Canis lupus familiaris: one gene and its partners. The protein of the gene in region 3 binds, or shares a complex with, the protein of the main gene of each other region. Links are inferred from orthologs where the notes say so. Each region holds a gene or a part of one and is shown on either strand. Other genes may lie near its edges.

What was found.
Region 1: KAT14 (region 3) and YEATS2 share a complex: the UniProt entries of both Homo sapiens proteins name them as parts of the ADA2A-containing complex. The link is inferred for Canis lupus familiaris from reciprocal best matches to the Homo sapiens genes KAT14 and YEATS2.
Region 2: KAT14 (region 3) and MBIP share a complex: the UniProt entries of both Homo sapiens proteins name them as parts of the ADA2A-containing complex. The link is inferred for Canis lupus familiaris from reciprocal best matches to the Homo sapiens genes KAT14 and MBIP.

What each region holds. Positions count from the first base shown.
Region 1 is NC_049255.1:16,902,496-16,906,152, forward strand, and holds part of YEATS2 (YEATS domain-containing protein 2), read left to right. Parts: intron 1-1,519; coding exon 1,520-1,623; intron 1,624-2,595; coding exon 2,596-2,703; intron 2,704-3,164; coding exon 3,165-3,347; intron 3,348-3,657. UniProt on the Homo sapiens protein: Chromatin reader component of the ATAC complex, a complex with histone acetyltransferase activity on histones H3 and H4. YEATS2 specifically recognizes and binds histone H3 crotonylated at 'Lys-27' (H3K27cr).
Region 2 is NC_049229.1:15,070,260-15,074,515, forward strand, and holds the start of MBIP (MAP3K12-binding inhibitory protein 1), read right to left. Parts: upstream 2,828-4,256; 5' UTR 2,765-2,827; coding exon 2,636-2,764; intron 1-2,635. UniProt on the Homo sapiens protein: Inhibits the MAP3K12 activity to induce the activation of the JNK/SAPK pathway. Component of the ATAC complex, a complex with histone acetyltransferase activity on histones H3 and H4.
Region 3 is NC_049245.1:5,325,788-5,328,190, forward strand, and holds part of KAT14 (cysteine-rich protein 2-binding protein), read right to left. Parts: intron 1,993-2,403; coding exon 1,802-1,992; intron 1-1,801. UniProt on the Homo sapiens protein: Component of the ATAC complex, a complex with histone acetyltransferase activity on histones H3 and H4. May function as a scaffold for the ATAC complex to promote ATAC complex stability. Has also weak histone acetyltransferase activity toward histone H4.

The DNA of each region.
Region 1 (3,657 bases), on a different chromosome or scaffold from region 3:
TCTTACCAAATAAAAAAATTATCTTTACTTTTCTGTGAATAAGTAAATTTTGTGTGTGGGAGGGAAATTGAACTCTGCAGTTATAAAAAGGGACCTCTGATAAGAATAAGAACTGGATTTATTGTGTCTGTTGTCATAATTTCCAATAACTACAGAGTGCTTTTTACAGTTTTTCCAAGATTTTTGCTAACATTATTTTATGTATTCGCTTCAGTTAAATTATGGGAACATGTGCTTCTAAGTGCAAACTTTCTGTAGCTTTCACTTTTAATTAAGAGAAATAGTGAAAAGAGAAGTAACTATAAGGTAATGAGACTGATTTAAAAATTTTTATTTTTATTTTATTATTTTTTTTTTTATTTAAAAATTTTTAAACATATTGATTTTAACACATGACTGTATGTTGGATCTTTCCAAGTAGTTTTTTTTTGGAAAAGTTAGGTCCTTTAACAGTGATTAGAATTATGGAAGTCCTTTCAAAAATGTTGTTTTCAGAAATTACTTAATAGCCTTTTGATTATATTTAGGGATATCAAATAGGTATCCTTTGAGGATGTTTAGTTTTAGGAATTAGCCAAAGTCTTTGCAGGCAAGTTTGATAAATGGAGCAGGTGATCAGATACCATTTTTGGTCTTGCCTTATTTTTGACTATGGATAATGGGACTTTTTTTTTCTTTTAAGATTTTATTTATTTGAAAGAGAGCACAAGCAGAGGGTGCAACAGAGGGAGAGCAGGCTCCCCACTGAACAGAGAGCCTGACTTGGGGCTCAGTCCAGGATCATGGCCTGAGCCAAAAGCAGATGCTTAACCAACTGCCGCCCAAGTGCCCCATAGATGATGGGACTTGTTTTTATCAGACCCTAAAGGCAGTTGTACAGATGGCGTATAAACTGCTTAATGTCAGCTGCACTTTGGAATAGGTATAATCTCCTAGTGAGGAGGCTTTGAAGAAGCTAGCTTTCGTTCAGATTCATACATTTGGTACATTGTTACATAACCAATATCCTTGCATATCCTACCTGTATACAGGTAGTAGAGTATGTTATGTCTAATAATTCACTTTTCTACATGTCCTTACTTGTCTATTTTTAAGTTAATGAAGTGGCTAATTTCATGGGAGGAACCCTTAAGTATTTTTTCTGTAATAATTTCATAATTTCATAGTTGTGAGTTTTCGACCCTTACAAATGAAAAATAGTGGGAGGGGCAGCCCCAGTGGCACAGCGGTTTAGCGCCGCCTGCAACCCGGAGCGAGATCCTGAAGACCAGGGATCGAGTCCTGCGTCGGGCTCCTGTGTGGAGCCTGCTTCTCCCTCCTCCTGTGTCTCTCTGCCTCTCTCTCTCTCTCTCTCTCTCTCTCTCTCTCTATGTCTATCATAAATAAATAAATCTTTAAAAAGAAAAAAGAAAAAGATGAAAAATAGTGGGAAAAGGGGGAGGGTGGTGGAAAATGTTTTAAACTTCCATTTTGTACATTTTACTTTGTACTTTATTTTAAAATCTGCCTTGCTTATCAGGAAGTCCTACAAACAAGCTCTCTACTGCCTCCCAGGCCTCCCAAGGAACAGGTTCCCCTATTCCTAAAATTCATGGAAGTAGTTTTGTAACATCTACTGTCAAGGTAACACTCTTACTGCATTATTGCACTTTTCTAGTTTATAAAGACAATAAGTTTAAGGTCAGCAAGAATTTGTTGGTCGATAATGCAAATTTCATTAAGTAGAATCTTCAAACTAATAAGTATCTTGAAGATCATTTATTCCAGACTCTCCTACCTTCCTCTTGGTCTTTTCCTAGTGTGAAAAATGTTCCTCAACACTTTTATTAGTTGGACGGTCAGTATGTATTTGAAAACTTACTCTGATGAGGAGGCAGCTATTTTTAGGAGTGGTCAGCTTTGTTACAGATTTTTCCTTATAAAAATATTCATCTGGCAGTATGCTATTTTTCTTCTTATGTTTGTCCAGTAAAGAGTAATTGTGTATTTTTTCTATACGTCAGCCATGTAGTTACCTGAAAATAATTTTTATCATTTCACAATTTATCTTTTTTTTTTCCCCTCAGGGTAAAGAAGCCTTTAAAATTAGAACTTCAAATATGATCTGACTTGTTCAGCTAATAGATACCTAGATACCTAGAGTGCTGGGTATCTGCTCACTGTTTGGTTCAAGTATATACTGAAACACTCGAACCTGTTTATTTATTTAGTGATTAGGCTCTAGGGATAGAAAAGAAAGAAAATACAGTGCCAGGCCTTAAGTGTCTTACCATCAGGCAGGGGACTAGACATGTAAATCAATGAGTCAACCAAATATTAGAGGCATATCATAGGAGACTTCCCAGCATACACTGGGGCACAGGTGAATAGGTTCTTGCCAGTTTATAGCCTTTTCTTGCATTTGGTTTCTGAAACAATATTAAAATGCTAGTGTGGGGGCTGAAGACCCCAAAGAGTTTTGAGCTTTTGATTTTCTTTTATTTTTTGGTTATGTTGCTAGAGAATGTCACAGGTTTATATTAAATATAAGGGACTGGAATATCTGAAATCACTTATTTTATCCTAATTGTATAATATGTATTTTTACATACACAGCAGGAGGATTCTTTGTTTGCATCTATGCCACCTCTTTGTCCAATTGGGAGTCACCCTAAGGTTCAAAGTCCCAAACCTGTAACTGGAGGACTTGGAGCTTTCACAAAAGTGAGTATTTATTAGGACATTATCCCATAAGTCAATATGGTTTTGTTATATAATTATTTTGTGGCATGTTGGGAGTTGGCTACCCTACAACATGTAAATTTTTAATTCTAAGACCACATCCTACTTCTGTGACATGTTTCCATATATTTAGTGGTGTCCACAGGGCAGCCCTTGGTATCTAGCAAGATCTCCTGAGAGCACAAGCTGTGTGTGCCACCAAAATCTAGAACAAATGGACTAGGATGAGTTGCAGAAACACAGGATCAAATCCAGATCCTCCTTTTCATCCCTCTGATAACTTTCATGGACTGTATTTAAGCAGTATTTTTACCTTCTAGTGGAGTCATTTTTTTTATAGACCAAGCTTCATTAATTCATTAATTTCTGCAAGCAGAATAGATTGAAATATTAGTGGCTTTATTCATAGGATGATTATTCAGTGTTATTATGTTTGTTGCCAGGTAATCATCAAGCAGGAACCTGGTGAAGCCTCTCATGTGCCTGCAACAGGAGCTGCTAGCCAGTCACCACTCCCTCAGTATGTGACTGTGAAAGGGGGTCACATGATAGCTGTGTCCCCTCAAAAACAGGTCCTAACTGCTGGAGAAGGGACTTCCCAGTCACCAAAGATTCAGCCCTCCAAGGTTTGTGTTCGGTAGGGTTGGGGAGATCAATATGTAAATGAACATTAGGTGCCTTAAATAATAGGTAGGTGCTGACAAAATTCAGATGACAGGGTTGCTCCCCCTAGAAAATCCTGTAGATGGAAGTCCTGTTGGAAAAGCAAGTTAGTGTTAAACCCGTCTGCTCTTGCAGTAATCATTGACAAGAACAGGGGCACATCTTACAGAGAGAGCTCAGGAGTAGTCAAGAGGCAAAGGGATACTTATTATCTCTCTGGCAGTGAAGGTGATAGATTTCATGACACAATTTCCCAATTGATTCAGGTGTAAA
Region 2 (4,256 bases), on a different chromosome or scaffold from region 3:
GTCATGTTTTCCACAAAATAAAGGCAAGTATTACATTAGTTCAAATACTGATGTTATGAGTTGTGATTCTAATAAAACAAAAAGATGAATCACTGTACAAAGAACCAGAAATCCAAAGTTACCCAAAAAAGGCAGTATACTTAATGAATACTGTATGACAAAAATTTACCACCTTTTCCATGAGACAAGAAACATTTAAAGTCTGTATCAGACAACTATAAAGAAATAAGAAATTTTGGATAGGCTACACTGGCAGAGATTAGATTATATTAACTAAAGTTTTACATTAAGATTACTGCATTAATCTTAGTTTATATTATTTAATTACTGTACTTCTACAGTCCTCTAAGAGATCTACAGTTCCTAACAAATTTATAAATAGAGTTTTGGGATAACACAGACAAATCCTCAACTAAAGTAAAGCATCAAATTTCCTAAAGAAAATAAACAAATAAAATAAATCTTAATGTTGGGATCATATTCTCCTTTCAATTCAGCATAATTATGTAAGCCTTTCAAGCACAATTAAAGACACTTGGTTTTTTTAAAGAAAACTACATAATGATACAAATTAACTTTAAAATTATCATAATATATCCAACTATTTATTCAACAAATTCCCTATTAGTAATACGAATTCGATGCATTTTTACCCTTTATAACTTGTAAACGTAAAGCATTCACTCAAAAATGTATTGGTGTGACATTAATATGGACTATTTAAGTAAGCATTTTCCATAAAAAATTAGTATGAAACTCCAAGCTAACAATAAATAATGCTTCAACTTGGTAGAATGAGCCATGCTGTGGCAAGCAATAAGGTTAAAATAAGTAAATTTGAAATCTGGGATACTTTTTAACATTCAATTTTATGTTTCCTATTGAGGAGAGCCAACAATATAATGATACTATGCAGAATGAAACTAGGCATATTGAAACTTACTTTTTTTTTTTTTGAAACTTACATTAAAAAAAATATCCTATAAACTTGTTGCAAAAGTACATAGTGATTTCCTCCAGGGGCAATTTTATAATATTGTGGCTTTCATTCTTCCCTTTAAACAATACATCTCAAAATATAAAGACTAATATCAAAATAGTATTTAATTGATGAGACAATGATTTAATTTTTTGACACCTGTATAGATGGTCCCTTCAATGTGTCATGTAAACTTTCCAAATATGTACTCTCAACATTTTTGACAGGTGACATAAGTAAACTTTAATCACAAAATACGCGAATGTTTAAAATCTGTAAATGAGTTTTAAAAATTCAGTATGCAAAAATATTTCAAAAGAAATGTTTAAATTATTTCTTAATGTTACTTTAAAAAATTTATCACCACTGAAAATAAAACTGTAAATTACAGGTAAGCATAAACTTTTTTCATCGTGACATTAAAATATAAATAAACCTTAAAATTCCAATATCCAAGACAGAAAACGTTCTCAGACTTTTAACCATTACAGGTCTTGGGTGATAAGACTAAAATGTTAATGTCCCCAAGTCTTTAAAAAATTTTAATAAGTTGGCGGCAAACAACTGAGCTCAACAGTTACAACTTTTAGCAGATTCTGTTAATAATTGTTCCGTTAGACCAAATTAAATGTTTAACTTAGAGTAATGCTTTTTCTAAGGACAAACATATTAGGATTTTTAAAAATACTGAAATAACCTTTTAAAAAATTAATTCTCCATCCACTCACGGCTTTTAAAAATAACTTTTTACAAACTAGACAGGTGTTGTTTTCATAAACATTATCCTCGACATAAATGTTTGCTGTGCCTACTACATGCACTAATACCAACCCCATAACAAACTTTTAGAGTAAAAAAATATTCCGTCTAAGATACAAAAGATTTCCTTTTTAAAAGCAAACAAACTTATTTTCAAGTTGTTTATCATTTGTAATATGCTTTGCATTTTATTTCATGAAACAGTTGACTTGATTGAATAGTGTAAGGAGTACTTTTATTTAAACCCAATTTATTATGACATTTCTGCAGAAGCTATTCATCAGTCAGTTAAATTAGCTAATAATTAAATGACAAACAGTTCTGATGCAAACTCTATCAATCATGGATAACTCATCGAATTTTATGCAAGAAGTATTTACATTAATTCCTTTCATTTTTCCTCCCCATATGAAAGGGTAAGAGATGCACATGTAACAACCAGAAGGAAAAAAAAAAAAAGAAAGAAAACCAAGTGACTCCTAAAAGCAAATCAACCCCCCCCCCCCCCCAAAAAAAAAGCGGAGAGAGCTTTGCCAAAACTCTCAGGCCGTTACTTCTATCAATTTCTATCACAAATTCACTGAAGGATAGGGGATGCTGAGCGCCAGGCACCCTCCAAACCCACAAAGCTTTTTACGCCTTCGCTCTCTCCAAGCATGTTCTTCTGGGAGCCAGGTTTTTCACTTACACTATCCTCTCACTCTTGGGGAGAATTGCCAGCCCGTACGGCCTTCCTCGCTCCGACCGCAGCTAGGCTCAGGCTCCTCCGCCGGCCTCAGTACTCAGTCCCGGTCCCCGGCAGCCCTAAGCAGCCCCCCGCCTCCGCTAGAGGAAAAAAGGGGGGAGGGGCCGGAGAGTTCCCAACCCCCTGCTCTGCTCCCACAGACCACCACTCACTTGTCCCACCAGGCTATGCAGTGAGCGAAAGATTTCGCGGAGCACCTCTTGGGAGAGATTGGGGCTGCAGCTCCGTTCCGGACTCCTGTCACCACTGCTCGAGAGGCTAAGCTCAACGGCAGCAGCCATGACACCTTCGCAGGCTACCCCCGCCACCACCGAGCTGTGCTCACAACACCCGCCCCCCTCGCCCGCCCGCTTGCGTCGCCGGTAAATGACGTAAAAACACAGCGTCTCGTCCGGCCCGGGCCTTCGAGGACCCTCGTGACTGACAAGCCGGTGCGCCAATCAGGTGCAGCTGGAGCGTCACGCCAAGGAGCCGGAGCGGGTAATTGCCGACCTGGCGGAGCTGCGTACGGAATTTGGGACGGTGATTGGGGCGGTGGTCTAGGGAACGTTAGCGTCTGAAGCCTGTCTTGTGTTTTTAGGTGTTGCTTATGAGTGTTGAAGAGGAGACTTAGACCTAAACGTCAGAATTTTAGAAGTTAAAATTTTAGCTTTTAACATGGCGCTGTGGAGTGGTCTGGACAAAGATTGCTGTTCGGGGGTGCAGCAGGGCCCACACCTCTACACCCTGGAAAACTCTTTCACGTACGCTTGTATTTAGAACATTTTCACTTCTGCAAAGTTTAAAAACTTACACAAATTAACGTGACTAATTTTTCATGTGAGGGAGCAGAGGCTATAAAAGAACAATAAAATGCTCTACTGTTCCTGCTGTACTATCAATGGAAGAAAGGACATTAATTACTTTAAATCTGCAAAATAATTATGTCAAGTTTTAAAACGTGCATCAGTTGCTATTCTCTGAGTGATACTGTAGAGACACTCACCTAAACCTTTCAAAGAAGTGAGACACTCAAAACGATTCTAACAGTTTAATTCAAATAAGTAATTGCATGCAGCACAATCTTTGAAATTAGAAAAAATAAATGCGAATTGAAATTTGACAGCGTATTACTCATCAGATAGATTTATTAAAAGATATTTGAAGTACTTTTATAGTCCAACATTTAAAAGCTTTATGTTCAATTGAAGAAAAGAACAAAGGTTAGAAGAATTTTAAATGTTAAGCTCTATTAAAAAACAAAACCCGTCAGTTCAGAGATTAGGGACAAGGTATTTAAAATTCTTAATTCTAATAGTCTAATGCATTTACAGTAGAGGAAGCAAAGGTAGAAACTTGCACAATATGTATTCTTCAGTTTTAGAGTAGGCTGAATGAAAAGGAGCAGAATAGGCATCAGAGAACTGGAATGGGGTCAGTAGGGATAAAAGAACGCCTTTGACCTGTCCCTAGGGAGCCTCTTAATTAGGCTTTCATTTCCAAAGATCACCAGGCTTGACAGGATCTTGAGAAATCTTGTCTGTTCCCTTGTTCACAGCAAGATATACAATTTATAATCCAGCCTATGTCTAGAAACATCCAGAAAAAGATTTCACAATATATAATCCCAAATTGAGCAGCCTTCTCATTCAAGGCACTCATCTCCATCTCTAATTTAAACTCATGATTCTTTGCAATGCTGTATATTTTCTTTGCCTCTGGTTCTCTTTTTAGAAGAGAATAATTATAACAGGGTAACTAGAAAAAAAATTTTATGTAACGAATTAGCAACCA
Region 3 (2,403 bases):
GGTCCTTGAGATTTGGTAACCCACAGTTCCCCCAGGCATAGATTTAAGTAAGGGACTCTCAGGTAGACAACTGCACTCTTTTCTCTGCTTCTCTTACATTGTGCGCCCAGTGGGACTGCTATGAGTGCATTAAATGAGTTTCATGGAGTGACACTCATGTTCCGATGCATGGTCTAACCATGGCACCATCAAGGACTACTGCCTGACTGAGCAGTACCATCGGGTCCTGGGGCTTATGGTCTGGCTGAGGGCCGAGTCCCACACACAGGATGAACACTTCTGCACCCACCTGCTGAGCCCTCAGTAAGCACTGACCCTGCACCAGACCTTCTATGAGACACAACCTGGGAGTATCGCCCCTGCTGATGAAGGGAAAGGTGGCAGTGCTGCTGGTGAGGACGGCAGGATGAACAGGGGGCGGTCGAGCCTGTGAGTGGGGTGGGGAATGGGGTGAGGTACAGATAACTGAGACTCTCAACACAACACAAGGGAGTACATGCTAACTGCTGTATGGAGAGAGAAGAAAGCAATTTCTAGAAAATGGTTCTAGGTTCTTGACGGCACTGGGAAGTGCTGAGCAAGTTTCGTTAATAATTGGAAAAATGATATTTTATCTTCTCCTTCCTCTATTTAAAAAGAATCTTGCCCACATAATACACAATCCTCCATGCCAAATGGTTTCTAAATTAAAGTTAATTAAAGAAATAAATTCCTTACATGTTTTTCGATATTAGTATATAAATTTTCTTCAACAGTCATACAGATATATCAAAGGATGAATTATAATTCAATATTAAAATCAAGTCTCAAAGGCTTACACAGCTTATACAATGACAGTAAAGTCAATAATAATCAGCAGTAATAGAATATGTAGTCCTGGTTGATACAGTTTTGCTAAGATGTTTAAAAATACCAAAACTTTTGCAATAGCATAGGTGGTATCATGCTCAGTGAAAGAAGTCAGACAAGATACTGTATGATCTCACTTATATGTGGAATCTAAAAAACAAACAATGAAAGGCTGAACAGACAGATACAGAGAACAGACTGGTGCGGTTGCCAGAGGCAGGGCTGGGGGGTGGGTGAACTGGCTGAACGGGGGTCAAAAGGTACAGATTTCTAGTTTATAAAAGCAGTCAATCCTGGGGAGGTCACGTACAGCATGCAGACTGCAGCTCACAATACTGTACTGTATATTTGAAAGTTGCTAAGAGAGTAGATCTTAAGAGTTCTCATCCCAAGAAAAAAAATGTTTGTAACTAAGTTTGTAACTGTGTCTGTAACCATGTGTGGTGATGGATGGTAACTAGACTCACCTTGGTGATCACTTTGCAACATAGTCAAATATCAAATCATTACACTGTACAGCTGAAATGAGCATGTTTTGTAGGTCAGTTATACCTCAGTAAGAAAAGACCTCTAGAGATCACAGTTCCACTTCTACTTCTTATAGCCATGGCAGTAGTGTTTCTAAAAGCAGAAACAGTTACCAATATGGGTCATACAAGTGCTTTGGGGTCTCACTTTTGATACTTTCTCATTTTTACTATACATGTTTACAAACTGGTTTCTTTGAAACCTGGGCCTGAACAGTGATCTTATTTTAAAGGGGCAAAGCTTTTTTTTGGTGTGTGTGTTAACAGCCTCAGGAGGGAAGGTGACTGGTGTTTTCTCACTGGGTTTCCGAGCCCGCCCATTCGGTCGGGCTGTGCTGGGAAGGCTCAGCTGGCGTCATCCCTCCATCCTTCCTCCAAGTCTTCCAGGGGAGCCCAGAGGTAAGCTGGTAGCACAGATGCCGTACCTGAATCAGATGATAAATCATGAAAGTTGCAATCCCTGCTCTTCTCCATTCAGGATGGACAAACAGAAATGAAATGTAAGCTTCATTGTACTTCACATCAGGTACCATGAAGCCAAAGGCAATGATGACTTTTTTATAAAGGACAACAACACTGAAGTCTGGATACTGTAGGCACTCAGACAGGTCAATGCCTAAGGAAAAGAGATATTTGGAGAGTCAAACTGTGTGCCTTCTGGAATTAAGGAACATCAAGCTGTTCAGTCTGTACTTACAACTACACCTGCATGCTAAAAACTAAACCAAAACAAAAAACCAAAAACAAAACTGAAAACGAAGATATATGCATAGACATACGTCAGATCATAAAAATAAAAATGAATTTTAGAAAATATCAAAACAAACACCATTTTTTCTAAGTCCACATTTTAAGAGAAGAGAGGCAGGGTACGGTGAGTAGCACAGAGCGCACAGGTCTAGAACTGGACATACCTGGCTGTGAACCTAGCCTCCTCTACAACATGTGTCAGCCAGCACTTTTCTAAACGTGGGCCTCAGTGTCTGCACATCTAGACTTCCAAGGGTGGGAGCAAAGACCCCGAGAG